4 linked regions of the Rhinolophus ferrumequinum genome follow. The protein of the gene in region 2 purifies or fractionates together with the protein of the main gene of each other region. This does not show direct contact. Links are inferred from orthologs where the notes say so. Each region holds a gene or a part of one and is shown on either strand. Other genes may lie near its edges.

Region 1 (7,902 bases), on a different chromosome or scaffold from region 2:
CATCACACAGCTGCTGGCTGAGCCGCAGCTCATTCATGATGCCAAAGGCCTGCTTGGTGTGGTCCTCCAGTGTGTAGCTAAAGGTGCGGTTGCCATGCTGGGAAGGTGTCACCTCAGCCTTGCACTCGGTGGAGGCGTACATCACTGTGTCCCCTGCCCCGTCGGGGCACTGTGACCTCAGGGGTAGGAATCGGGTACGGGCCCCAGCCCTGCTAGGCCTGGATTCCAGCTGCATGGGGTTCCAGGTGACAAGGGACAACACCACCACTGGCACTCAGGGGCCTGGAGGAGGGAGAGCACAGGGCTGGGGGCAGGGCCTGGGGCCAGGCCTTTATTAAGATAAAGCAACTCCTACACCAGTTTTCCTTGCCAAGCCCAGGTGAAGCTGCATCCATTTGTGCTTGCTAAATGTCCTATGGCCTCATTAGCCCAAGAGTCCCTCTTAAAACATGTCACATGATGTCACCCCCTTGCTCAGAATCCCCCCACACCTGTCTACAGCACGGAGAGTAAAACCGAACACTTCAATGGCCAGCAAAGCCCTTCAGACTCCGTCCCTGTCCGCCTCTCCCCTTTGCTCACTCTGTTTGGTAGGTAGCCCTTCCCTTCCTAGAGCATGTCCAATTCACTCCTTCATTCACCTCACCAACGTTTATTGAGCATCTACTGTGTACCAGGCACTGTTCTAGGCACCAGGGACACAGCAGTGAGCAAGACAAACAAAAACTGTGCTGGAGTTGATACCTGGGGGGGGAGGGAGGGGAAAATGGCCATAAATAAAATAAGCGACTTAAGTAGAAATTGAGATCATGAAGAAAATGACAACATTGTGACAGTCATTAGTTTTCCAGGCAGAGGGAAGAGTAAGTGCAAAAGGCTCAGAAGCAGAATGAGACAATCTGGAGAAGCAAGGAGGTGTGTCATGACAGACAATGACTACTGAAGGGAGGGTTTCCATGAAACCTGTGGAGTCTGGAGGGCTGGAGCATGAGTTGTGTTTTGAAAGGTCCTGCGGGGAGAAGGGGGGTGGATCTGCAAGAGGATCCCCAGGTTCTCCACCTTATCTTTCTGGGGCTCAGCATAGAGTCACCTCCCAGTTTTATTTCCATCACCCCACTTGTCAGGAACTGAAATAAGCCTCTTTGCTTGCCTGTTGAGGGGTGACCCGTCCCTCTGGCCCTGAGCCCCAGCGCTTCAGAGGGCAGGTCAGGGTTGTGCCCACCCTCTCATGTGTCTCCCTCAAGTCCAGCCTGGGGTCTGGCACTGCACATGGGTCAGTAAGGTATGGCTGGCTGACTGCCCACGCCACTGTGCCTACCAGAGCACCCTCCTTCACCCGGCCCGGGGCGCCGCTTGTCCACCTCTCCCCAGCCAAGGCCCCGGGTCTGCCTCTTGGTCTTTGGCCAACAGGTCAACGGTGCCCCCTGGGCATTTCCCCTAACGAAGCACTAGGTGGGGGACTGCGCATGCCCCGCCTGAGCCGCCACCGAGGCCTGGAGAAGGAAGTAACCCCACCGAGGCCTCTTGACTGCCAATCCCAGGGCGCAGGTCAAGCACCCAAACGCCCCGGGGTCCCCGGGACTCCGTCCGAGCGGCTCTCCCCAGGCCTCTCGTCCGGCTTGTGTGGTTCCCGGGCCACCCCGCGAATCGCGCCGTCCAACAAAAGGATGGAACTCGAGCCGCGCCCTCCTGGCCTTCCGGGGGCCACGGGAACCCCCCAGACCACCGGGCCCGCGGCGCCACGTCCCCCGGCCCCCCGGCACGACTGCAGGGGCGCAACCGGCCCGCCGGGCCCGCAGCCCCGGCGCAGGCCGCTCACTCACCCCGCCATGGCCGCGCTCGGGCTCCGCCTCCGTCGCCCAGGCCCCGGCGCCTCCATCGCTGCGCTGGGGGGTGGGGGTGGGGGTGGGAGGCGCGGAGCGCGCGCAGGTCACCATGACTAAGCAGAGCCTGGCGCTTGCCGTGTCAGAATAAAAGTCCCCGCGGCCCGGGGCCTCAGGCGGCGGCGTTGGCACCGTGGCCGCTCCCCGCTCTCCCACCCCGCGGGCTGTCGCCAAGCTGCGCAACCCCAGCGCCGCGACCACAGCATTCGTCATTGCGGCGCGGCGGGGTCAGGGACCGCAGCTCTCCGCGCACCTAGCCGCGTGGTCAGCTCCGCGGGAATCGGGGCACCGGGTTCGAGGCCAGACGCGTCCCTGCCCACACCGGGCATCAGTGGACACTCCTCCCCGCCGCCGCCGCCGCCGCCGCGCTCACCTCGGCCCCTGCGTAGCCTCGGTAGCTCTTGTCGCGGGGCGGGGATACCTGGGACAAGGCGGCGGCTCTGGGCAATGTGGTGCCACCCGCGCGCTGAGCTTCCGGGAAACCCGAGGGGCCGCAGTCCCGCCGGGGGCGTCTCCCGCCTAACCTTCGCTCTCCCGGACCCGCGGGCACCTCCGCTGTCAGGGGACCTCGGCTCTCAGGAGGCAAAGCCTGAGGGGTCTCGACCGTCGGGTGAGGGGAGGCCTCGGGACACCCGGGAAGGAGGCGGGGAGAGGGCGCGGCGGGAAAGGAGCCGCGATTCTCCGCCCTTCCCGCAGGTGCCCGGAGCCCCGGCCAGGAAAGCCCGTTACCCCTTCGCACTGTCCCTTTCATTCGACCTATTTCGTCGTCTCAGCGCGGGGCTGCTCTCTACGACCTGCGCTTCTCTCTTTAACGCAGGTCTCACGGTCGACGGCCGCAGGATCCAGCGAGAATTATCTATCTAGCTGGGGTTTCTTTGTCTATATTTTTTAGTTATCTCTAATGTAGAGGTGCGTGGAGCTCGCCTGCGGGGCGTTCGAAGGCCCGCTCTGCCACCCTCTCTGGTTCTGTGCGGGTGGGCCTGTGACTTCTCCATGCTTCAGTTTTCTCCCTTTGAGGTGGTAATAATGCTAGCACCTTGGTTACCGGGAGCACTAAATGCGAATGCGAGTGCCTAACAGATGTTAACTATCGCTATTTTTCATGGCATGGAATACTGACTTGCCACTTACGCTGTTTAAGATATAAAGTTAACATTTAAATAAATGTATTTAAGGCTATTTTTCAAAGAGTCCTCTATGAAAACTAAGTGAATAATGGAAACGCAAAGAGGTTTAAGAAAGAATTCCGCCAGCCTCCAGACTGAATTTGGAGGATTCAGTGTCCCTGCTCAGGGTCTGGGATTAAACCCGCGCAGGAGCATGTGGTGGGGTACCCTTCTTCCGCCGCCTTCCCAGATGCGCGAGTCTGCGGTTCTGGACCCCTCCAGCGGGGGACGCTATAGCATAGTTGGCAAATACTGGCAGTGGCGGAAGCTGTGGGAAAACTCGCACCATCCTTAAGGCAACCTCTCATATATGAAAATCAAACCTACAGGCCCTGTGACCCAGTAGTGCCACTTGTAGAGATTTATCTAAGGTATACTCACATACGTGTACACTGAAGTGTTTTGCAGCGCTGTGTATAAAGGCAAAGGATTGGACTCAACCCACGGGTCTCTCCGTGTAACAAGTGGTGGCACATCCATGCTGGGAAATACTATGCAGTCAGTGAAAAGGAGCAAGACATTTGCTGTATGACTTTACTTCAATATTTAAAAATTTAAAAAAAAAGAACAAGTGATATGGACTGAATTGATTAGATTTAGATGAGGTCATGAGGGTGGGGCCCCATGAAGGGATTAGTGCCCTTATAAGAAGAGACACCAGAGAGCTTTTTTTTCTCTTTCTGTACACCATGAGAGCACACAATAGGAAGGTGACCGTCTGCTAGCCAGGCAGAGATTCCTCACCAGCACCCGACCATGCTGGCACCCTCATCTGGGACTTCCAGCCTCCAGAACTGTGAGAAATTTCTATTGTTTCAGCCACCGAGGCTGTGGTGTTTGTTATGGCATCCTGAGCAGACTAAGGCAGCCAAACAATACAAAAATCTGTGGATGGGCAACAATTTCCAGGATATACTATTAAGTGAACAAAGCAAGATGCAGAGCAGTGCTAAAATTGTGTAGAAAGAGGGAAGATGTATTTATATTTCAGCTCATTTATCCACAGAATAGCTCTGGAAGTTTCCCAGGAATCCCCACAGTGATCATGTCCAAGAAGGGGACGTGTTTTTTGACTTTTGTAAAATGTGAACAAGTGAATACATCTACCATCACGCCATCAAGTAACCAAACAATGGGGTGAACTTCAGGCTCCCCTGGAATATGAAAGGAACCTGGGATTGGGGGCACCAGGGCAGGTAGGGAATTGGGTCCAGTCCTGGGATCGTGACCCGAGGCTTGAGTGTTTGTGTTCCAAGAATAGGTTGGTTTCCCGTGCGTGTAGCCTGTTGGGACCTGAGTGTGGCAGGTGGAAACTCAGGCCACCAGGCTGGGTGAGTGCCTCCAAAACACATGGCTTTGTGACTGCCTGCAGTTCCGCAGTCTCCCGGCAGATGGTGGGCCACAGTCTGAGCCCGAAGTGACTCCGCGGCACGCCCCACCCAACGGTCCAGGCCGCATAGGGGTCAGGACTGCGCTCAGGGACAGCCGGGGACCGTGGCCAGGGCGTCTGGAGCCTTTTATGGGCACAAACGGGGCCCTGGTATCGCCCCAGGCCGAGAATGCAGACCCCTCTGGAGGAGCCAGACACAAGGACTGAGCCTGGGAGCCTGACAGCCTCGGCAAGTATCCTGGCTCAGACACTGGGGCAAGGTACTCACTGCTTAGAGTTCCCTCATCTGTCAAATGGGGGTGAGGAAACCCACCTTGCAAGGTAGCAGTAAGGGTGAGAAAAAGGTGTGTCCTGAGCTTACCACTGTGGGGCGACTAGCCAGGCACAATAAGCTGTAATTCTTATTATTATTTTATTATATTTTCATTTTTTATGAAGAATCTGACACCACTCTCAAAGACATCTTGTTTCAGATAGGAATTGGCTGAGACTCCCAGAGTCAAATTTTAGGGTGTCCTGTCTTTGGTGTCCTCCCCTCTAAACTGCAGAGCTGTCCTTGACTACTTTCTTTCTCACTCTCACACTCAATTCCTCAGTAATTCTTTTCGCTGTTTCCAGAATCTATCCGAGTTGACATCATCTCTCCCCCAGGCCAGTGCAGTCACCTTCACCTTGTTCTCCTAGCTTACACCTTTGCCTCACACAGAGATCTGTGAACACCTGAACCAAATCAAGACCCTCCTCTACCTAGAACCCTCCATGGCTCCCACCTCACTTAGAACAAAAGTAAAGTCCTTCCCTGAGCCCACAGTGATCTGCTCTGTCATCTTCCTGCCTTTGTTTTCTCCCGCCTTCACCTTCACTGATGCTCCAGCCACACCTGGGCCCTTGCTTTTATAGAGCACATAGGAACGTTCCAGTCTCATGGACTTTGCACCTGTGGTTCCCTCACCGGAAGTGCTCTTGCTTCAGGTGTTCCCAGGACAATGACGTCTCAGCTCACATCAGTTACCACCACCTCTGCAGAGAGGCGTCCTCTGACCACATTCGCATCACTGTATTGTCACTGGAACTGTCTCCATTATTTCTTCACTCCTTTATTGCCTGTGCCCCCACCAGAACGTCAATTCCACAAGGGCAGAGATTCTTGTCTGTTTTGTTCATTGTTGTGGGGCTTAAGGCCAATAAAGTACATTTCCCTGTGTCTCTTCTTCCTCCACTATCTTCGGCTGCTTTTCCTATAAATTCTATTATTTAAAAAGAAAAAAGTCTGCAAAACATCTCTTAGGGAGGGCAATGGCGGGCCAGAAGGCGTCAGTCTGCAGCTGGTGCGGGTGCGGATACCAGGGTCTCCGCGGCTGTGGGCGCGCTATTGGAGCCGCTGATGTCCAGCCCGTCCCGCAGGGGCGACGAGCGCTCGGAGCGGCTAGAGCTGACATCCAGGTCCGGGGGCAGCCAGCGGTGTAGGCCGTCCGAAGCCCCAGCGGCGCTCCCGGATCGCGGGGAGGCGCCCCAATCTCGGCCACAAGGGCGGCGGCCGCAGCAGACGAGGCGCAAGAGCGCGTGGCGCAGGTCACGGTTGGTGAGCGTGTAGATGATGGGGTTTAGAAGAGAGTTGGCCATGGCCAGGCCTAGGAAGGGGTCCGCCTGAAGGAGCACGGGGCAGGCGCGCGCCGGGCACGCCACGTCGAGCAAAAGTAGCAGGAAGAGGGGGCCCCAACACACCACAAAGGCCAGGAGCACTATACTGAGAGTACGCAACAGCGCCAGCGAGCGCGGCGTGCGGCGCGCTCGGCTCGAGAGGCCCCCAACAGCCCCAGGACGAGCCCGCAGGCGCCGCGCGTTGGCCCGCACCTGGCAGTAGATGCGCGCGTAGAGCGCACAGATGGTGGCCAGGATGCAGAGGAAGGCGAGTACGCAGAAGAGCAGGTACGCCTTGGCGTAAAGCGGAAGGACTGTGGAGCAGTTGTCCAGGTGGCCCAGGCAATTCCAGCCCAGCGCTGGCAGTAGCCCGAGGAGCAGCGACACACCCCAGGCGGCGGCCGCCAGCGCCAGCGTGCGCCCGCGACCAGCAGCCGGCGCGGGTCCCCTGCGCGCCATGGTGAGGAGGCGTTCCAGCGCGATGGCCAGGAGGCTCAGCACAGAAGCGGCGAGAGCAACAAAGACGCCACCCTCGCGTGCAAACCAGAGCGCGGGCGACAGGCGCAGCGTGAGTGGCCCGGACAGTAGGATGTTGGCGGCGTAGGCGGCGCCAGCCAGCAGGTCGGACAGTGTGAGGCTGCCCAAGAGCAGGAACATGGGCGCATGGAAGCGCGGGTGGCGTCCGAGCACTAACAGTACCGCCAAGTTCTCGAGCACGATGAGCGCGCACACAGCCAGGCACACGACGGCGTCGGCGCGCAGTCCGGCGCCGGGCTGGTAACGCGCACCGCGGAGCTTGCCGGTGTAGTTGTAGTGCAGGACGATGACCTCGCTCACCGGCGCCGGCCTCAGCAGCCCCGGATCCATGGGCCTCCTGCCCCAAGGCTGCAGAGAGGCCAGGTGCAGTGTCAGGCTGGGCTCGCACCATCCCCGCGGCCTGCGGAGGCGAGCATGTGCCTCGCAGAACTGGGAAAGGAGCCCTAACCCCCTGCCCTCCACCCCACATGTACACTGGGGCCCAGGGAGAGTTTGGGATGGAAGGGGGCTGGCCATGGAAACAGGCCCACACAGAAATAATATTGGGACAGGGTGACACAGTCCCACAGTTGCTGAGGGATACTCATAATTCACACACAAACACGGATATCCAGAGTCATAGTCAACTATAAACAGACAGAACGCACACAAATACAACCACACACAGAAAGGGACATATAAATACAGTGACACGAACTAGGGCAAACATACACAGACCCCATCAAGAAAACACGAAAATATATTCACCCATGGGCAAAGCTACACAGGCAGAGACATACAGGAACACAAATTCTGCAAAACGCAGACAGGGTCTCACCCAGTCGTACAGGCCACAATTTCACAACCTCCACCCACACCCCATCCTGGAGTCCCAGCCCCACAATCTACTTGTCTTGTTGCACACAAGGCTTTTTCCTGCCAAACTCCCTTCATCCACCGCAAAACCTCGTGAGAAAGTTAAGCCTATCCATCCAATTCATAGAGGCAGAGCCGGAAGGCAGCAGACAGGATCCACATCGCACAGACAGGCTCTTGTAGAGGGGCACACATGTCATTAAAGTATAATAATACTTCCCACTTGCGACTGTGCCCTTTAGTCCCCTACACATCTCTCCCATCAGTCCCAATTTAAAGGCGAGGAAACTGATGCTGAAAAGTACTTCGCAGAGAAACAGGCACAAAAGTTTTGATGCTCCCACACAAACACAGCCACGCAGAAACGGCTACACAATCACGCAGACCCCACTTAACATGAGAAAACTGAGGCCTGGGGAGGGGAATGGAC
Region 2 (6,240 bases):
ACCGAGGCCATGCTTGTGCTCAAATAGGCCTGGCTGGGCACAAGGCTGCATGGACTTCATGGGGTGGGAAGGCCAGAAGCTGGGCCAAGCCCTCGAGCCGGAGGTGCCAGCAGACAAGTCCTTAGAAGAGGTTCAAGTCCAGTGTCACGAATCCTGGCACCAAAGAGGAGCCAAGGCTAGCAGCAAGGTCTGTGGCACCTTGGCTGCCAGGAGCACCTCCACTTGGACCCCCCTTTTGTCTCTCTGCACACCAAGGAGCCCCCTCCCAGGCAGGAAAAGGGAAGAAGGGTGAGAAGGGTTTGTTAGGTTGTGGGTACTTAATAAATGGTTTTTGTTATGAAGACGTGGGCTTGGCCCCTAATACTGCATTGGTACACTTCACAAGGATGTGGGTTTCCAGAATGAACCCTAAATCCACAGGATCCAAGTATGTGCACTGGCGAGCCAAGAATAGCATGAGACAGCCCCACCAAGAGTCCTCCCCACCCCTCCCAAGCAGCTGGAGGCAAAGGGCCAGGCAGGCCTGAGCAATCTTTATTCTGCAGAAGGACAATGCCCACAGATTCATACACCATGTGAAGGCCAGGTGAGCCAGGGGCCAGACCTTCAGGGGTGGGTGGGTCCAGGCTGGGGACAGCGCCTCGAGTGGGGGAGGGGCAGGTGGACAGACAGGCAGGGGCCTAAAAAAAAAACAAACAAAAAAACGAACCAGACAGAGCAGGGGTGCTGGGGGCTGCTCCCCACCCGCCAGCACCCAGAGGGACAACCCTAACATGACTGGCTCAGGATCTACCCAGGGCAGAGATGGAGTGGTTGGTGCCCCCAAGGGGTGGCATCCCTGCCCCGACCTAAGAGGCAGAGGCAGCTCAGTGCAGGAGCCAGGAGCTCCCTGGGCAGAGCCTGACAGGGCCCCCCACTCCCAGGCCAGCCCCCCCTACTGCTGGCTCAGAAGCCGAAGGTTTCCTGGGAGGCGTAGACCATGTAGAGGAAGCCATCGTCATCCTTCTCCTGCTCATAGATGTCCGCGATGGGCGTGGACACGCTCACCATGCTGTGCTGGTTCACCAGCAGGAAGAAGGCCTGCGTGGGGTTCAGCTGCAGGCGGCGCCTGCGGTGGACAGGAGGCCCTGGCTGCTGGGTGGGCGCAGCTCAGATTTCCCCCAAATGATGCCCAGCCTCTGATTCCCACGCATCCCAGCCCCATCTAGAGGCTCTCACCTGACGCTGACCCCAGCCCTGACCTTGACCTTTCCCACCCTCCCCAGAACAGGTACCCAACGCCCCATGCCCTGCCCCACCCGAGCCCTTCTCAGGACCTGGCCCACTGCTTGACCCCAGCAGGACCCGAGTCCCCCCTGACAGTACTGCCCACGCACCGGATTATCTTGACCAACTCGCTCATATTGACATGGTCCGGGACCAGGAACTTGGTCTTGTCCAGGACAGGCAGCTGCTTCTCACCCTTGTAGCGCTCAATGATTACCTGGGAACCGTGTGGGGCGGCAACGCGTGAGCCCGGGGCGGGGCCTGGGGCCGGGCGGGGAGCTTAGGGGGCGGAGGGACTCACCGGGATCTTGCTGGGGTGCTGGTCGCGGATCTGCTGCACCTCCTTACAGCGGTCGGCTGCGGAAGGAGGTCGGGCAGTGAAGCTGGGCCCTCTTCGCGGCTCACTCCGCCTGTCCCAGAGGTGTGGCCCCTCCGGCCCTACCTCCCCAAAGCCCCCACCCCTGGAGCCGTCGGGCAGGCCGGGGCCCAGGCCTGAACCTGCCTGCCAGCCTGGGGTCCAGCTGGAGCCTGACGTCACCGGGCTGACGTCACCTGCGGCAGCCCTGTCGGTCGCGCCCCCCACCCCCCCACACACACTGTCGCTGATTGCCCGCCGGGCCTCACCGAAGCTCCGCCGCTGCTTGAAAGGCCGGTCCGAGGGCATCTCGCGGGCCCGGCGGGCGCACAGGCCGAGGCTCCGGGGCGCACGGCGCGGGGATGTGGCTGCGGTTCAGGGGTTCCGGGGGCTCTGTACCTCGCGCTCAAGGGCTCCGGGGCTCACGCTGAGCCCGGCGGCGGAGACTCGGGGAGGTAACTCGCCCGGGTGACGTCAGGTCACAACATTCCTTAAAGGGGAGGCCGGCGCGCCACTCCCATTGGGCCGACGCAAAACCCGCCCGCCCGGACCGTGATGTCAGGGCGCAGAGAGCCTGGATTCCCAGCGCGCACTAACTATGAAGGGCGGGGGCTCCCAGAGCACGTCACAGTCCCATGATGTCATGGCCTGCGCGGGTCTCTCTCCCCCTGGCCCCGGCTGAGCAGAGCCTGGAAAGCCTGGACTCGCAGGCCAGACTGCGGCTCAGCATCCTCTATTCCTGCTGTCACTGTCATGTGACAGCGCACACTCGAGTCTGTCAGTTCCAAGACAGTACGAGTGCTGAGAATGACAGCAGTGAACCAAAAGTCCTCCTCGCCTTCATGAAGCTTATGGTTAGAGAAAGAAAAAGGTGGGGTGGGGAAATTAAAACATGAAAGAGCAAGGCCCTAAAAAGGAACATAGAGGTTTAAAAAAGGAATTTCTAGAATTGAAAAATAGAACTATTGAAATTCACATCGCAAAGAATGAGGCAAGAAAGCAGATTAGACACAGCAGAAGAGAATCTCTCTGAATTGGAGGATAATCAGAAGCAATTAAATAGATAAAAAAGGTGATGGGACGGAGTATAAAAGAGGAAGTGACTGGAATGGTAAAGTGAGAAGAATGCCCATGTCCAGTTAGAGTTCCAGAGAGGAAAGAATATAAGAGAGGCAGTTCCTGAAGAGCTTCCAAAATTAAAGACCAGGATCCTCACATAAAATCCAGAGCAGGATAAATAAAAATAAAAGCATTTAGGTACTTTTTAGTGAATTTGCAGAACTCTAAAGACAAGAAATTAGATGGCAAAATGGTGAGCAATTAAATTGGTAAACATGTAAGTCATCTAAACAAGCACTTAATTGGAACATGACTAGTGATGATTAATTTGTGGAGTGCAAAACAAGGAGCACTGAACACAGGGCCAGGTAAGACTGGAGAGGGTAACCAGAGTTCAGCATTCTAAGAAGCTTGATTTATAGGAGAGGAGGAGGAAGTTAATGATAATTGTCTAGCTTTGTAAAGTCAAATATGTATTTCAGACATTTAAGAGAAATCACTAAAAGAATAGAAAGTATAACTGCCAATGCAGGAAAAAAGTTAGTAAAGGGTATTAAAATATGGAAGGCAGAAAAAAAGAAAAAGGAGGCAAAGTAAAAAGAAAGGATTATAAATGGCGCATAATCAGAGGTAGAAAATGTTTTATATTCACCTATTAAAACAGATGATCAGATTGGCCAAGAAAAATAAAATGCAGCTCTAGGCTGTTTACAAGAGGACATTTAAAACCTTAGGGCACCAACAGTGAAAAGGTGGCAAAAGGTATACTTCAGAAAAACTAACCAAAAGATATAAGAAAATCAGACCAAATAGGCTGTAAGGAAAAAGATGTGCTTAGGGATAAAGAGGGTCACCACAAAATGGTTAAAAGAACAATTTTCTAGGAAAATACAACAATTCTGAACTTGTATGTTAGAAGTTTAAAAAAAGTATTGAAAATGTATAAAGCAAAAGTAACCAGATACAAGGAAAAATGGCCAAATCCTCCAGCAGGGTAGGAGATTTAAGTAAGACCTCTTTCAGTAACTGAAGACCAAACAGTCGAAAAAAGAATATAGACGATTTTAATACTATCAATAGTCCTGATCAATGGACCCTGATAGAACCCTGAACCCAATATGTTACTTTCCAGCACACAAGAAACATTTACAAAAAAAAAAAAAAAAACCTAACTAGGAGACTCCAAGAAATTTCTCAACAGATATCAACTAATCGGTTTCATATAGACCATATTCCCTGACCACAGACATGAGCCAAGTAGACTCCAAATGTTTGGACATTTAAACATTCTTCTAAAAAACTTACTACTCAAAGATGAAATCATACAGAAATGAAAATTATTTAGATCAAACCAAAAATGAGAATAAAATAAAAACTCCGAGCAGCTAAAAGCAGCATTTAGAAGATTTATAGCCTTGTTATATTAGGTAAGAATACAGGAAATTTATTAGCAGTGTCAAAGAATTTTAAAAAGGAATAACAATGTAAACACAAAGAAAGTTAAGGATGATAATAATGAAGAAGAGAAATTGATGAAATAGAAAACAAACACTAGTATGGACCACAAAACAAAGCTAGATCTTTGAAAAGATCAATAAAATAAAATTAATTTCAAAAGGACATAACTATATATATCAGAAATGACAAAAATAAGATTATATAAACTTCATGCCAATAAGTTTAAAATTTAGATGAAATAACAATTTTCTCAAAAAAGATAATTTGCCAAGACTAAATGAAAAAGAAATAGGCAAACTGAGTAGCCATATACCTCAAAAAGCCAACTAGTCCAAATGGTTTCCTAAGTGTTCTCCCAAAAAAATAAATAAATAAAAATAACCAAACTTGGAGCAAACATTATACTTAATGGTAAAATACCACAGTATATGGTAAAATGTTAAGCATTGTTCCCTTCAAAGCCAGGAACAAAATTTAAAATTTTTTCATCAAACAAAATGCAGTATTATATGGAGGTCCCAGCCAGAGCACCAAGACTAAAAAAAGAGCAAAAAGAGCAAAACTATCATTCACAGCCAGAATAACCCAAGGAATCTACAAACAATAAAAGATTGCCAACACCGTGTTTCATACCGAAAATAAGACCTAGCCAGACAATCAGTTCTAATGCGTCTTTTGGAGCAAAAATTAATATAAGACTTGGTCTTATATTATAGTAAAATAAGGGTCTTTAATTATGTTAGATAAGACCCAGTCTTATTTTACTATAAGTAAAATTATATTTTACTATAAGATCAGATCTTATCTAACATAATAAAAGACCCTTATTTTACTATAAGACCAAGTCTTATATTAATTTTTGCTCCAAAAGACTCATTAGAGCTAATTGTCCGGCTAGGTCTTATTTTTGGGGAAACGGTAGGACGGCCGGATGGCTCAGTTGGTTAGACTGTGAGCTCTCAACAAGGTTGCAGATTCAATTCCCTCATGGGATGAGGGGGCTGCACCCCCTGCAACTAAAGACTGAAAATAGCGACTGGCCTCGGAGCTGAGCTGCGCCCTAGATTGAAGGACAATGACTTGGAGCTGATAGACCCTAGAGAAACACAGTGTTCTCATATATATATATACATATATATATATATATATACACACACACATATATATGTATATATACTCATATACATATATTCTCATATATATATATTCTTTTATATATATATAAAATATATATCTACACATATATATAAAAGAATATATATATGTGTAGATATATATATAAAAGATTGCCAACTAATAAAGTTAGTTTTATTAGTTTTATACCAAGTTTTAGAGGAATATGGGAACTTTTTACGCTGCTTATGGGAGTATAAATCTTTTCAGCCACCCTGGAGAACAATTTGGCAAAATCTATCAGAACTGAAGATGCCCATATTTTACAAACCAGGGATTCTACTTTCGAGTGCACGTGAGCCCAAAGAAACACAGGTATGTTTAGTGGAGCATTTTCATAATAGCAAAAAATTGCGACCGCCTAAATGTCCAGTTAAATATCGTGGTGTATTTCTATAACAGAACAACACACTGTTATAGTGAAAGAGGAAGAGAAGGAGTCAGCAAACTTTCCCTTTAAAAGACAAGACAATAAATATTTTTGGCTTTGCCAGCCATGTGGCCCTGGTAACCACTCAGTCCTGTTGGAGTGTGGAAGCAATCTTAGACAACCAGAGTGGGCATGGCTGTGGCTATTTGCTAAAACAAACTTGACCCTAGGGCCTTAGTTTGCTGACTCTTGATCTACAGATATGTGTGTCAAAGTGGACAAATCTCACAAACACAAAGTTGCATGAGACTAAGTGTAATAAGAGCCAATAAGAGCAATGGAAAGAACTAGGCTGGCCATGGCCTTGGGGAAGTGGTTACACCTCTCTTTTGTCAGACTAAGCCCTGGGCTGAGGCTGCAGTGGGGGAGGGGCCCATCCCCCAAATCTCAAAGTCTGTGCTCACTCTTCCTCTTACCCGACCAGTCAGCAGACTAACACCTCTCCTTCAATCCTCTGGTTTCTCTGCTGACTGCTTCCTCCTCTCCCCCTTCTCTTCTG
Region 3 (7,484 bases), on a different chromosome or scaffold from region 2:
TTCAACTCACAACATATTCCATGCCTGAGTCTACGGATCAAAGGGAAGAAAACAGAGTGGAGATTTTTAATTACAGACCTGAGAAACCTGGTAAACAGTGGAATGTGTTCATTGACATAAAGATACTTAATGTGCAAAGAATTAAGAATTGCAGGCAACATTTTATATGTAGCCTAAGGTTTTGTTTTTTTTAGAATCTGCAACTCTAGCAATGTCTCAAATAGGCACTCATCTGTTGACTGCTATCAGCCTAAACATCCTAAAAGAGAAAAAAAAAATCTTTCATAACTTAAAATATTATTATTTATTTGCTGCAATTTCAAGCCTTGATGATAGATCCTTCAGTTGGCCAAAGTAGTTACATAGTATAGAAATAAATTCATTTACAGTCTACCTTTCACAAGCTAACTCTACACTCAAGTTCCTCAATTCTTGTTCCCAATTTTTATCCTACGTGCTTCAGAAAGTTTTCTGCTACTTAGCAAACTGGCAGGACTCAGAGGTCAAAGACCTAAAATGCTAATTAAAACAACTCTTATTTATTTTTAAAAAAGGAAGGGATAAAAATGAGAAGTCAGGAGTATATTTTCCTGGAAGAGGTTGGTGATTGGGGATCCTTGCACAACTAATCACTACCAGTTGGAGTACAAAGTCACAGTAGCAAGCTTAAGTTTAGGCATGGCATATTAGTCCAAAAAAGGGATGACTAAATTATTCAAGTATATTTACAAAGCTGCTTTATGCTCAAATCTTCAAATTATTTGAGAAGAAAATGGCTTCACTCAAGTATTTGCAGAAATTTCAAATACTTTAGATATCAGACCGTCTTCACATTAAACCTGTCTTCAATCAGTTAAAAGGTTGGATTCCAATCGTTGGGATTATTTAACAATTCTTGTTTCTTCTTAATTAGGTGTGACAAGCTATTGCTCAAACCACCACTAGTTAAGAAATAAGACTTACTAGTGGGCTGTATTTCTGCCTTGTAATCAGCAACTATACCTGCTTCTCTTGTGTATGATTTTACAAACCTCTGTCTGCAGAAAGATTATACATCATATGCACTTCAGTGTGAGAAGCCTGTGTTTTCCCCCACACCCAAGGACATTTTTCCCCTAAACCTACACATTCATTTACACCCCACTTGAACAGAAGTAAGCACAGCAATTAAAATTTAGATTGAGCATAAACAATAACTTCTCCGTGTCCATTAGGTCACTTAACATTTTTTTAACCTTTTGTAAAATAGTGTTCCATTACTTCAGATAAGTTATCTGAAAACCATAGATGATTGAAGAAAAGGCATTACTTAACTCATTTTCTGAGTAAAGATTATTCATTACATTTCAAGACTTAAAAGGAAAAGAATTTCTTGCTGATGCAAGCAAAGGTGATAATACCTGTAAAGAAATATGAAATTATGTTACTGATACATTAAACCTTTTTATTAACAAGAATCCTTAATGTATGTTATACCAATGGGAAAAAAGTAAATAAAATTAGCCTTCTAGTGGTAAAGTGTCCGATAGCCAATAGGTCACTAGTATTAGTGTCATGTCAAACCAGTCTCTTTTATCATTGTGAAATTAGCTCTTCAGAAGATTGAGCTGAGGCAAGCCTCTTTAAGGGGTATTTCGGAAGAAAGCACATTAATATTAATAAATTATTTCAGCCAAAGTGAAACCAGGATTGGTGAACCAGGGAAATCAGCTCAGAAAAGGCTTAATTCAGTCAAACCTTCCAATGATCACCTGCCTGGGCCCTCCCTGGGCATGTTGCCAGATAAGACAGTATGTTGTCTACAGGATAACGCACCATGGGGAAGAATTCTAGAACCTACGAAAAGGAAGCCAATTACAGGCCCAAAACCTTGCATATCTCAGAGCAGGTGTGCTTTATCCTCAGGGCTTGATTTGATTCCAGCAAACCTGAGGGAGGTACTCACGCCCACAACTACCTGCTACACTCCAGCAGACCCCAAGATAACCTCTCCATAACCCTTCCTACCTTCCAGAACCAAAGAGGGGATTGAGGGCCATTCCATGCCCAGGACTCAAGAGAGAGGGGAAAAAAGGCGAGTTCCCCTAGGGACCTTGACCCCACGCACTCAGATTGACACCGCCCTGAGAAATACGTTCCTCCATTCTATCCTCCAGTTCCTTCAGTGACCTTCTGTTCCTACTGCCTCGGGGATGGCAAGAGGCAAACCACCGCCGTTCCCCCCACCCCCAGGGGAAGGTGCCTTTCCCAGATGAGAGCCGCAAAAGGAAGGAAGAAAAAGATTGCTCCTCCCCAACCCACCCGCCCTACAACTCCTGGGTGCAGACACGTTGGGGGAAAAAGAGCAATGGGAGGTGACAGCCCTGCACTGACCTAGGCGATGAAACCCTTGCTCCGGAAGAAACACGGAGAATTCCCCCCGCTCCAACCTATCCAAATGAATGAACTGAATAAAACGGGGAGAGGGGTGGAGTTAGTATGCGCAGTTCTTGCCATCCAGGAAGCGAAGACAGAAAGGCCCTCGAACCCACGACAGGCCTCGCGGCACTTTGCACCCCGACTCTCGTCCTTTCCATCCAAACCCCACATCACTTAACCCTTTAAGCTTTCCAAAATAGCGCCCCCATCCTCCATCTACCCCGGACACCGACAACCCCCACCCCCACCTCCGATTCAGCTTTTTGCTTGGCCTAGACTCCAGCTTTCTCCTCCTTACCACCCTCTCCACAGCCCTGACCAGCCAGGGCCCAGTCGCACCTGAAGATGCTCCTGAAAACGAATTGGCAGAATCTGGGCCATGGCGCTGTCGGGGGTATGGTCTCCTCCTGTCACTGGGGCTGCGGGGCAGTGGCTGCCCGGACTCTCCAAGGGAGAGGAGGAGAAAAGGGAGGGGGTAGGCTGGGCTCAGCAGGATACTCTCCGGGGACGCAGGAAACTGGCAGGCAGACGAAAGAGCTCGGGTCGGGGGCGGAGGCTCCAGGGTCCGGGAGAGCCGCAATGGCGGAACCGGGCGCAGCGCAGACTCCGGAAACGGCTGAGCCCTGCGGAGGGATCCCGGCGACAGAACTCCGCCCAAGTCACCTCACCCCCTCCGTCTTATGTACCCCTCCACGGAGCGCCGCGGTGCTGCGGGCGCAGGAATTCTGGACGCAATGCGCTGTGGGACTCGCTTACTGCTGACACATGAGGGGAATTGGAGGAAGCGAAGGGACTACTTTTTTGGACTCATCACTTTCCCCAGCCTCCGGCTTTTCCCTCCCTCCTTTCTTTTTTTTCTTTTTTTTTTTTTTTTGCATTTTGCCACATCATGCGACTAGGGGCGACCGACGTCATTTCCGTGGGCGCTTTAGGTCCCACCCACGTACTTCCGGGTGCACGTGATGCTGGTCAGGATGGGTTGGCTGATTGCTGCCAGAATGCAGAACGAGTTCTAGAGAAATGTGGAGTCTCCTGGGAATGCGGTGGCTGTTGGACCGCCTTGAGGAATGGTGGTGCTGCTCCCGTTCCCTGTGGGTCCTGCCTATTTAAACTGAATCCCTTACGAAGAGAACGTGGAGTGGGCAGATGGGCCCAGCCTCCCGCCCTCTCCGTGACTCAGGGAAACGACCTCCCTGCAGAGCGCTTTTTTGGCAGCTGGCTGCAGTTCTCCCCCGCCTAGTTTCATATAGTGGGTGTTTTCTTACATCTCAGGGACGGGGGAGTGAAATGGGGTTTAAAATCCTCCCTGCCCTATGCACACCCTTCTGACGGTTGGAGAGACACGCTTGGATTCTTAACTAAGAGCTAGCAGTCTCTTCGGATGTTACTTTAAAAAGTGGCTCGAAGGACAGTGAAGGCCATTTCTGAGGTATCTCAAACTGGCCTTGTGATAGCTTTTAACGTTTCTGCGGACATTTTGGCGGACATGCATATCGGCCTAGCTTAGTAATACATTTTTTGGTGTTAAAGGGTTTGAGTATCATAAATACGCGGAAGAACTGGACCAAAATTGTAGCAGGAATCTTTTGGCCACATCAAATCACGAGACTCGGAAGATTTAGATAATTAGGTTAAGGGTGGTTTGTAAAACCTTAAGGTTCTTCCTCGGTGTGGCTAATGAACACTCTTGGAGAAAGGGATTAACTAACTATTGGCAGGGCCACCTCCACATTGCTTATAAATTAGCACTGTTTGGAAATGTAAGCGCTTCAAAGCAGGAGTGTCATGTCTTTCTAACAGCATTAATGTATCTATGGTATTAATTAACGATTAATAACCTTCCCAGTACTTTATTGCTAAATTGTAAGCTGTAATATTTCATACTAGCACAAATACAATGACAAAAAAAAATTTAGTTCCGTGCCTTTCATCTTGATAAGAGATGTGATTATTTTTCCAGAAAGATCTTGAGGAAATACTCAAGTATACAGTGATTTTTAGTGCCCTTCCCAGTTAAAAACGTAGAACACTATTAAGTATGCAATGATTTTGTGTGTTAAGCAGTTTTGCCTAGAGAAGTTTGCTTCATCATTTAAATTGCTTTGTTTTTTCCAAAATATATGTCACATACTGAGGATGAGGGAAGAATCTTTGGCAGGTAAGAAACAGCAGAGAACGTTCTGCAAAGAAAAGCCTTGCCACCATGTCATAAGAGTAAATATTTATGCTTGGCAAAATTTCATTTTGTTAAGCCAAATACTTGAAGATGTTCTGTATTCTGCAACATTGTAAATGACCTTCCTAATACCAGTATAATAGCTACTTTCAATCCTTTCTGGAAATAGACAAATTCTAAATTAAAAATCTATAGGACTTATTGTTTTATTCCAGTAAAAGCTATAGCTTAAGAAACGTTTCCAATTATAATCTGGGATACAAATTATATCATGAACAAGCCACTGAAATTTATTAATAACTTGTGTTTTCGTACAGACCTGTGTAATTTTAACTACATTTAGAATCCCCAAAGGAATTGATTTTAGCTTGGATATTTGGTGGGCAATATCTAACCAAAAGTGCACTGAGGTTGTGTTAAAGTGACTGCTGTGTCATCACACACAGAAATCTAGTGAATGCATAGTTCTCAGAAATCATTTAGGGAGAATAAAAATAGATTACAATATACCCGCTCATTTTGAACACTGTATACTTCAAATCAAAAAATCCAAAATTTTTCAAGAGAAAAAAATGGTCCAGATGGTAAAAAATTGAAAAACCAAAATTGCATTTTAAAAATCAGTAATTTTGGCTGAGGTAATAAGAGCTTTGTATGGTAGTATGCTGTTGTCGCTAAAGATGCAGAGGCAGGGAAAAAAAGATTGTCAATCCTTGGTTTAGAAGCCCCAAAGGCTGAGTCACTATGAACAGTTACCTGAGCAGTAACTGAAGGGCTTTGTTTTCAGGTACCATATTAAGTTAGAGAAGAAAATAAATAGCCTAATAAACCAGAAAACAAATGCTGGGGGTTTTTCCCCCCTAAGTATGACAAAGTCTTTTAATAAGAGTACTACTATAAATGTATCATCATCCTTTGGTTTCAGAAAATGGTTTAGGTAAGGTAGCCATGTTTAAAAAATGGTCCAAGTTCTTTCAATTTGAAGCTATTTTTTTAGCAGAATATCCTTGCTCTGAGTCACAGCAAGCACCATTAGCAAAAACTGCATTGTTCATCTATTTTAAGGCGTGCCAATTTCTCAAAACCTTTTTTATGTTTTATGCCGATAACTATAATACAGGTTAACCTCACATGAGAATGACACCTCAGAAAAACTTATCATTGTCGAAAGTTCCTCTGTATTATTCATCTTCAAGCAGTCCCTGAATTAAGGTCCCTGCTGTTTAACTTGACCTTTTAAAAACAGTGTGAGCTAGTTGCATTGCAAAAACCACAACGTAAAGGCATTCCTCAAACATTAAGAGATTAATTTTAAAGCAGAACTTTAAACCTAATCCACCAGTACCAAATATTTAAAATTCAGATTTTAGCAAAACCAAACAGGATATACTTTAGCATTACCCAAGTAAGATAAGTGGTTTTGCCATTTAAACCGCAGCTTTGAAACATCTCAGCCCTCTAGGGCCACTGATACGAATCCCAGCAGGATTAAATCAAGGGCAGTACATCAAACGCACAGTAAGTGGCTCAGGTATCAGTCAACATACAGTGCTCGCTTTATTTTAGCCCTGTATAAGGCACTGATTATAGGCAACGCTCACCCAAAAGGACACAAAAAGAAAAAAAATTTTGTGGCCTTTTTTAGAATGAAATGTTCTCGAACTTAACTCGGATACTCAGTATCATTCACTCAGGCTTGCCCTAAACCTAATTTACATAGACAAGTTTATAATGCTTCAAAGATGGCAATAAGATCTATAGTGAATCTTTATTCCATGTCAGGATAGCCAAGACTAGTCCTGTGGGAATACGGTCTGGAATCTATTCATATTACACAGGCCCCTCGCATGTTTTCTAAAGGTTAAATCAGAGGCCAGCAGAGGAATAAAGCTTATAATAACACTACCTTACAAAGTCATCTCAGGAAGGTTGGTTCAAATATAGTGATAGAGCATTGTGGACAGAAAACCCAGAAGTTATAACCCTGCTGATCAATAGGGGATCAAATGCCACATCACAACATCTCTTTTACAACCAAAAACAAGTCACAAGAAGCTTGAGAGGATCTATAGAATGAAGGGCAATGAGGCTCAAGGCGTGGGAATGATTGTTAAGGGCTATTTTTTTCCTCCTTTCTAAACATGTGGAACTGTCTTTTCACTTTCTAGAGTTATTACTGTCTCCAATTCAAAATAAGGCATGACCCACAAACGTGTTCTCTCAGTAATCTTAAAATTCTGTCACACTCCAGGGGTAGGTACTCCCATCAGTGGCAATGTACACATATGTGGCCTTGTTATGGTAGTAAACTCTACTTCAGAACAGAATGGCTAAGGACTGAGATTTGGTAAAGTTTTCACTAACTGAATAATAGCAAAGTTTCAAGGAAGTGTAAAATTGAATTTACATGGTCAACAAATACTTTTCAGTACAAAAAAATGAAAAATAATGTTAAAATCTTTTGAAAAGGCTTTTCAAAAAAAAAACGTTTTATGTAGGGAAAGCAATTATGAAACTTAAAAAGGCCTCAGGTTCATCACTGTGATGTTTTTGTACAATACTCCTGCAAATGTTGCCTGGTCCGAGTATGTACCAAATTTAGAACACACTAGAAATGACTTTTTAAAAATTGCCTTAGTAACATGTCATGACTGATAAAAGAGGATCATGTAAAATAAACCCAAAACCGGGTTATTTTCTTTTCCTGGTTGCTCATATTCCAAATAATTGTGAGTTTAATGTATACAATCATACAACTACTATTCATTACACTCCAGTAATGAAAAATATGTAGTATTCATATGAACCTACCTCATGGTTATTGATTTAAATTTTATTTTTCTTCTTTGAACCAACCCTGTTAGCACTAAAAGGCATGAAAAATGAAAAG
Region 4 (7,629 bases), on a different chromosome or scaffold from region 2:
AGACTTGGCAAGGTTTTGATTTATGACTTTTCCAGTGTTGTTCTCCCCCGGTTTGGTGAACTTTTGACATCTACTGTAATACTTACTATCCTATAAGCTTATTACTGTTTTTGGATACTCCTTACTGATGTTATTTGTGTAGTTAGCCAAGTGATTTTTGATCAATAGTAAACATATGCTTAGTAAACATATCACTTAAACTTGGGATTACTCCTTTGACATGACAGCGGTATCAATGTATATAGTTTAGTCTTCACCACCTTTACTTTCTGACATCAACATATTCTATTAATTGCCTTTGACTTTTACCATGGTATACTGCTAACTGGATTGAGTGAAGATTGCTAAATAAATAATCAATTAGCCCCTCTCTAGTGTGTGCTCCTCCTCCTCCTCCTTCTCCCCGCTCGACATTCAAAAGTAATCTGTCTTTTCCCTCTGACTGCTTTTAAGATTTTTTTTTTTTTTTAGTTTTCATCAGTTTTACTATGATATGCCCAAATGTGGTTTGTTTTTTATGAATTCTGATTGAAGTAATTCTTCTTGAACCTGAGGCTTGATCTATTTCATCAATTTTCAAAACACTCTAAGCCAGGGGTGTCCAAACTGTGGCCCATGGGCCAACTGCGGCCCATGATCCATTGTTAATTGGCCCACAACAAATTCCAAAAATATATTTAGTTTACTTAAATAAACCAGGTGAGGCAATACGTACTTCACCTCGAGTGAGTGGCCCGGCTGTTTGTGTATTTTTACCGCATATGGCCCTTGGTGAAAAACATTGAAAAAAGTTTGGACACCCCTGCTCTAAGCCATTATCTCTCCGGACATTGTGTCTGTCTCATCCTCTCCACGTCTAGGACTCCAATTACATGTATGTTAGTCCTTACTGTAGCCTCTATATTTATCTATATTTTGTACTTTCTATACTTTTCTCTCTGTGCTTTAATTTGGATATATTCTTCTGACCTAACTCCAACTTCATTAGTTTCCTCCTTTAGCTGTATATAACCTAACAAACACTATTCATTAAATTTCGATTATAGTCTTCAGTTCTAGAATTTCCATTTTGTTCCTTTTTTATTTGTTATTTATTTTTATTTTTATTTATTTATTTTTAAGGAGGGCACAACTCACAGTGGCCCATGTGGGGATCAAACCGGTAACCTTGGTGTTATTAGCACCACACTCTAACCAACTGAGTTAACCAGCCACCCTCTTTTTCTAAAGTTTAATAAAATTCTCAGTCGTATCTTTTATTCTCTTAGCCATATTAAGCATAGTCCTTTCAAAGTCTTTGGGAAAACTCCATTATCTGAATCCTCTATAGATCTATTTGTTACTTCTCTTGATTTACAATCATTTGTCCTATCTTCTTGGATTCCTACTTATTTCTGATTGAGTGCTGATCATTGCATATGAAATAATTTGAGGCTTATCATGAGGTTGTCTCTCTCCCAAGAGAATTTATGTTTGCTGCTGGCAAGGACTGACATGATTTGAATGGAGTCCCAAACAATTTGTGTTCCAAAAGCAAAACATTAGGGTCTCTCCTGGGTGATCCCCAGACTTCAAACTTTGTCTTCCTATGTCTCTGAGTGTGTTAAAAGTGCTGCCCAGAACCCTAATTTCTCTGACACTCCTCTGGAATTGGCAGATATCCCTCAGGAAAAAGCATCCCAAATGCCAGGCTAACCGCTCTCATTTCTTCTTTTCTCTTGGATATTGACCCCATAATTATTTCTGCCTTGTTAGTTCTCTGATGCTTTCTGGAAACAGAAGCTATCCATGGACTTTTTAATTTCATGTATTGGAAAACCCCATGAGAATTGGAATTTAGCTATAACGTGTTTCCTAGGCCGGTTTTTAAGTTTGTCTTTCAGTTCTATTTTCCTTTCCCCATCTATAAACTGCTTTATGGTGCTGGCACTAAGACTCTTTAAACTATATTTCTGTACTGGCAGAAACTCCCTGCCCATAGGGATGCTGGAGGGCAACTGCAGGGTCTGCTCCTGTGGACATCACCCCAGCTACACTCTTCAACAAGTCAGAGCAGGTTCTTCCCACAGAAGAAGCTGAATCCAGTCTGAAATTTTTCCAAGACTTGCATAACCAGCCTCAATGCACGTCCTCCTCAGAGGTCTGGGACCTGGCCCCACAGCCCCTCAGCAGCAGTGTGCACCTAAGTCTCATAGGGACACTTCTCAGAGGTCTACGTCCCTACCCCATGGAAACCCTCCTCTAGGCTTAGAGACTCTCTTTCCAGAGGCCTGAGTTCCAGCGCTGTAGTGCTCTTCCTCTAAACTGAAATATTTCTAGTTTCATCCCATTCATCCCTGAGCTGTAGGGATGGTAGCTACTTTCTATACTTGTACATCCATGATAACTTGGGGTTCTCGTTTTACCCTCCCAGCTGCCTAGTTATCAGCTTTATTTATGTTAACTATTGTTTATACTCCAGTCCCTCTGTTAAATAACTGGCGTGGTTTCTGTCTCCTGAAGGATTCTTATTGATGTAGTTCCCATCCTTGTCCTTCCTCTATTCTCATTTTATTTATCTCACAACATGATTAGATATTTTGGTCCCACTTAGTATGTGATGACCAAGCTTTACAGTACTTTATTACATTTGCATTTCTAGAATTTCTATTTGGTTCATTTTTAAATCTGCTTGGTCATTCTTTATAGTTTCAGGTTTCCTGCATGTATTTGTTCCCCAGCATGTATTTTTAAGCTTGCCAGTTAGCTCTTTAAACATATTAAATATAGTAACTTATGGTAGTTACAAAATAGTCATGAGGATGCAAAGTACAGCATAGAGAATATAGTCAATAATGTTGCAATAATTGTGTATAGTGCCAGGTGGGTACTAGACTAATGCAGGGAATCACTGCATAAATTATATAAATATCTAACCACTACGCTGCACACCTGAAACTAATATAAAATAATATTGAATGTCAATTGTAACTGAAAAACAATAATTAAAAAATAAATATACTAATTTAAAGTCTGTTTGTGTGTGATAATTTCATCATTTCAATCTTTGTGAGTCTGTATCTGCCTTTTAGTTCTCCTGGTTCTTTCTTGTGGTGCTTTGTTTTCCTGAGTGTTATTTTGTTGTTGTTGTTGTTTTGTTTTGTTTTTACCATGAGCTGCACATTTTCCTTGGAATTTTATTTGTAGGAAGAAGGTCTGCAAGAAAGACTGTAGAATAGATACCCTGGGTGGAATACTAAAGTGTCTGTGCCCAGCTATCATGAAGTTCTCTTTCTTGCCAACACAGTTATCAAAGTTTTGTCCTTCACTGATGTGATAGGTAGAAAAAGTACATAATATAAATGTAATGTATATATAGAGAGATACAGAGATACATAATCAGTATGGTTTTAATTTACCTTTTTTATGAGCGAAGTTGGGCATTTTTTTCATGTGTAAGAATCAGTTGTATTTCTTTTTTATGTATTATTTGTTCATATATTTTTGCCCATCTTTCTGTTTGGTTGGTGGTCTTATTGAGTTGTAGGATCTCATCATTTCTATCGTGAAGATTAAGAAAGCACAAAGAATTGAAAGACTTTTGACAGGATTACTTGGCAAGTCACACAGCAACGGTAAGAATATTAAGACCCTTTTCAGGTAAGAATGTTTAGTTCCTTTATAAATATAGACACCAGGCAAAGTTCTGACTTATTTGCAATCCTACCATTTTGATTATGCATTATTTTCCTTTCTTCTGGGGTGTAAATTTTTAGTTTTGACCCCCCCAAAAAAAAGCCCTGGGTGGGTGATCTAGGGAATGATACTATTAATACTAAAGGATTTATATGTTTGGGGTAAAGGGTACTTGAGATCATAGGCATTATTGCCAAGATAGAGAAATGTAGTGTTACCCACAGCAAAAATCGGCTCTATTGTTAGGTGATGAGGCCACACAGATGTTGAAAGGGCAGTCTGCAGAGGTAATACTGGAAAAGAGATTTAATTTGCAAGTGAACAGTGTGTTCTCTTTAACATTTTTGGCTACTATATTGAAAAGTTAATGTGCAAATAATTGCATCGCTGTATTATTCAGGGTGGACCATTCGTTTCTTAAAATGACCACTGAGCAACCTGAAACAGTAGAGGATAGCGATTACTCTGTGAGAGTGCCAACGCAGAATGCCAAAAGCTTCCCCTTGCCTGACAAACATCTTTTATGCAGCCGAGCCATCTATATGCAAAACACATCTTCAAATGGTGCCTCTGAAAACAACTGGCTGCTGGGCAAGGCAGGTGTGGACTCTAGTTCCGGACTTGCTACTGCTATGTATTGTGCGACCACAGGCAACCCAGGTGATTCTCACTGGCTTTTGGTTGGTCATCTGCTGCTACCGTGTATGTTATCTTTGCAGACTCGTCGCACTGATATTCTGACACAGTATTCTCTAGAAAACGAATGAACCCGGAAAGATGTTTCCTATAGGAGCGGGGGCTGAGCCTTGCTCAGGAACACATCTGTCACATACTTCGAAGACTCCTTTGGCGGTGTTTTGGGCACATCTGTGCCTGAATTTTAAAAAGTGCCTCTGAACTCAACTGTCCAGAGTTTGAGGTAGAACTTTTCTACATATGGACGGCTCTAGGCAAGAGCAGCCTGGTAACTTGGTTTACCTCTTCTTCTAACCCCGTCACTCACGGAATTTACTGAGGGCAGCCCACGCCTAGTTTTCCGCCACACACACCTGTCCTGGGCATTGGCCCACTGCAGTCAGAGCCCGAGTCCACCTTCCGGTGCTCACCTTTCCTGAGCACAGACCCGGACAGCACAGACTCGCCTTGGCTTGGGGTGCCGGAAGTAAGGCTACGCGCGGACTACTTTTCGCGGACCCTCGGAAGGCGGGCGGAGGGATCCCGCGCACTCTCACGCGGAAGGGGTACGTGCGGCGAAGCCCAGGCAATGCGCCTGCGCGGCGGCGGCTGCGACCTCTGTTGCCGCTGCCTCCCGTCAGTGGGTCGGCGCGTCTGCCTGTCCGCGGGTCTGTCCACACGAGGGGAGCTGTCGCTTTCCCCTCCTCTGCTCCGCGTCCGCCATGGCGCAGGTCCTCCCCATCCGTTTCCAGGAGCACCTCCAGGTGAGGACCGAGCTCCCGCACCGAGGGAGCGGCGGGCGGGCTCCAGGGCGGGTCTCGCGCTGGGTCCTGTCAGCCGCGTCCCCGACCTCCCGGGGGACCCGGCGGCGCCGCTGACCGGCCGGCGGCCCCCAACCGACTCCAGTGGAGACGGCGCGGCTCGGGAGCCTAATGGCCGGGGCGGGCAGGCGGGTGGGTGTCGGGCGCGGTGGCCGCGTCCCGGGAAACCGTTATCCCGCAGCGACTGTCGGCTCTGGGGGTGCGGTCTGGGTAACCCTTCTCGGGCGACTCAGACCTCGGGAATGCTCAGAGTGCCGAGTGATGGAAACCATAAACTGCCGAAACCTGTCGTAGTGCCTTTGAAAAGCTTTAACTGACTAGCGGTGCGCATGCATTCGAATCCCAAGCTTTATAACTCCAAAACCTGTGTCCAATCCTAAAATTTCCCTTTTGCATCTCGTGATACTTACGCCGGAGTTTGCGTCTGTTGACTTGCAGAGTCGCTAGTGTGGCCTCGTGGGAGAGGATCTTCAAATTGTGTGACCAAAGAAGAAAAGTAATCATAGTGTTTTTTTCAGAAGATCCTTTCAATACGATAATAATACCCTCGAAGTTTAGCTTTTTAATGAGGTCCCACTTTCTTCTATCTATAACTCTCCTGATATAGTTGTGCCTGAGGAAAAGAAAGATTGGCTGCCTGTGTTTGAACGAAGTTCGGTACAAGCACTGGGCACAGCGCTCCGCTCACATACACTCAGGTGTCATACCTGTGAAGGGTAATACGATTCTCACTTTACAGGTGAGGAGATGGGGCTAGATGAATAGTAGCTACCAGCTCTTTCTTAAGTGCTTTATGTTAAATCATTACACTTCATAAAATACGCAGTATTTCCCCTGTTTTCTAAAGAAGGAAACTGAGGCACAAGATGTTAAATGAGTAACTTGTCCTCAGTCATTCATTGAACAAGAGAAGGATTCAGACTTGGGTCTTTTTGACTACACAGCTATACAGCAAGGAATTTGGTGGATTGAAAGGTCGTGTTTTCACAACACAGTGCACTTTTAACTCTATATCCAAACGAGAAAGGCCCTGGGAGTCTATAGTGACTGTTCAAATCGCCCCCATCCCGCAGATTGAAAACTTGATACCTGAGTATCCTGCCAGGGTTACTCGGTTAGTGATATAGCTGGTTGTGTGGAGGTGGAAGTCTCCCAAACACCCATCTCCTTCCTGGGCTCCATTCTACCACTGACCCAAGCCTGTTGCCAGTTATGTAGAACAGCAAAATACTACTACTGCTATTAGAATAATATAGTCATCATTTATTGAGCTGTTTCTCTTGCCAGTCACGATACTGTATATTTTAGAAATCTCATTTAATTTAACTCACGATAATTGAGGCACGAAGAGGTTAAGTAATTCAGGTAAAATTACACAGCTGGTAAGTGACAGAGCTTGGGTTCTAACCAGGTCTCTGACTCCAAAGCCTGTGCTTTAGCCACTGTCAAAATACATTCTTTTCAAAAGGTAGGGAAGCACTAAGGCATTTTAAATACCCATCAAAGTTCATAATGCCTTGAAGGGACATATTCTATTATCTGGAAAATATGTGTGGCTTGTGGCATACAGGCCATGAGAGTAGAAATCTGTGGTTTGTGGTTTCTGGCACTAACCAGTGTGAAGGCTGCTTTGCACTCCTTGTTTATTATCTAGCCTGCACACTCTCCCTTCACGGCAGACATTTCAGAACTTCCACCTTGTCCTTAAATCCCTGATCCTGCCACTCCCTCTCACTGCCAGCAGGTAATTAGAGAAACAAGGCATAAGCTGGTATGTTCCTCACCTTGATGCATGCGGCCTTACAAACTTGTATGCGATCTCCCTTTTCTGCCTTCCTGTTACCTCCAAAGTGGGGTTCTTTTTCTTGTGTATGTAATGGGGCCTTGCTCGGTAGCATCTTGTCTTTCCCGTATTTTCATCCATTTCCTCTTAGTGGGTTCTTCCTGCTTGTGCTTAACCATGCTCATATTGCTTCCATCTTTACAGCAAACTTCTTCCTCCCATGTCCTCCTGAAGCTCTTACTTCATGGCCAGACGTCATGAAAGAATTGCCCTATCCCTTCTTCACTTCCCTTATGTTCCTCAATAACCTGCAGTCTGGTTTTTGTCCCCCTTGCCAAGGTCACATGCAGACATGTCGTTATGCAGACTTTTTTTGTAAAGGACCAGAGAGTATATATATTCAGCTTTGAGGGCCACATATTGTTTCTTGTCACAAATTCTTCCTTTTTTTTTTAACCTTCTAAAAAATGTAAAATCCATTTTTAGTTGGGCCATACAAAAACAGGTTATGGTTTGCCAATCCCTGCTGTAAAACATAAACTCCATCACGGGGATGTAAAGTACATCACAGGAGATATAGTCAATAATATTGAAGTAACTGTGTATGATATCAGATGGGTACTAGACTTATCGGGGTGATCACTTCATAAGTTATATGATGTCTAATCACTATTT

Evidence for each region.
Region 1: the proteins of MAP1LC3A (region 2) and KEAP1 purify together in Homo sapiens (affinity purification with mass spectrometry; 3 studies listed by BioGRID and IntAct, with this or other methods). This does not show direct contact. The link is inferred for Rhinolophus ferrumequinum from reciprocal best matches to the Homo sapiens genes MAP1LC3A and KEAP1.
Region 3: the proteins of MAP1LC3A (region 2) and CLTC purify together in Homo sapiens (affinity purification with mass spectrometry; 3 studies listed by BioGRID and IntAct, with this or other methods). This does not show direct contact. The link is inferred for Rhinolophus ferrumequinum from reciprocal best matches to the Homo sapiens genes MAP1LC3A and CLTC.
Region 4: the proteins of MAP1LC3A (region 2) and CLTCL1 purify together in Homo sapiens (affinity purification with mass spectrometry; 3 studies listed by BioGRID and IntAct, with this or other methods). This does not show direct contact. The link is inferred for Rhinolophus ferrumequinum from reciprocal best matches to the Homo sapiens genes MAP1LC3A and CLTCL1.

What each region holds. Positions count from the first base shown.
Region 1 is NC_046301.1:39,781,860-39,789,761, reverse strand, and holds the start of KEAP1 (kelch-like ECH-associated protein 1), read right to left. Parts: upstream 3,005-7,902; 5' UTR 2,408-3,004; intron 2,063-2,407; exon of another isoform or gene 1,824-2,062; intron 283-1,823; 5' UTR 236-282; coding exon 1-235. Other genes in the region: S1PR5 (sphingosine 1-phosphate receptor 5), read right to left, coding at 4,567-4,696, 5,794-7,133. UniProt on the Homo sapiens protein: Substrate-specific adapter of a BCR (BTB-CUL3-RBX1) E3 ubiquitin ligase complex that regulates the response to oxidative stress by targeting NFE2L2/NRF2 for ubiquitination.
Region 2 is NC_046306.1:20,672,414-20,678,653, forward strand, and holds MAP1LC3A (microtubule-associated proteins 1A/1B light chain 3A), read right to left. Parts: upstream 2,367-6,240; 5' UTR 1,931-2,366; coding exon 1,891-1,930; intron 1,624-1,890; coding exon 1,568-1,623; intron 1,484-1,567; coding exon 1,377-1,483; intron 1,109-1,376; coding exon 946-1,108; 3' UTR 513-945; downstream 1-512. Other genes in the region: PIGU (phosphatidylinositol glycan anchor biosynthesis class U protein), read left to right, coding at 1-27. UniProt on the Homo sapiens protein: Ubiquitin-like modifier involved in formation of autophagosomal vacuoles (autophagosomes). While LC3s are involved in elongation of the phagophore membrane, the GABARAP/GATE-16 subfamily is essential for a later stage in autophagosome maturation.
Region 3 is NC_046304.1:26,489,112-26,496,595, forward strand, and holds the start of CLTC (clathrin heavy chain 1), read right to left. Parts: upstream 3,013-7,484; 5' UTR 2,800-3,012; coding exon 2,758-2,799; intron 1-2,757. UniProt on the Homo sapiens protein: Clathrin is the major protein of the polyhedral coat of coated pits and vesicles. Two different adapter protein complexes link the clathrin lattice either to the plasma membrane or to the trans-Golgi network.
Region 4 is NC_046308.1:23,904,260-23,911,888, reverse strand, and holds the start of CLTCL1 (clathrin heavy chain 2), read left to right. Parts: upstream 1-4,626; 5' UTR 4,627-5,072; coding exon 5,073-5,114; intron 5,115-7,629. UniProt on the Homo sapiens protein: Clathrin is the major protein of the polyhedral coat of coated pits and vesicles. Two different adapter protein complexes link the clathrin lattice either to the plasma membrane or to the trans-Golgi network.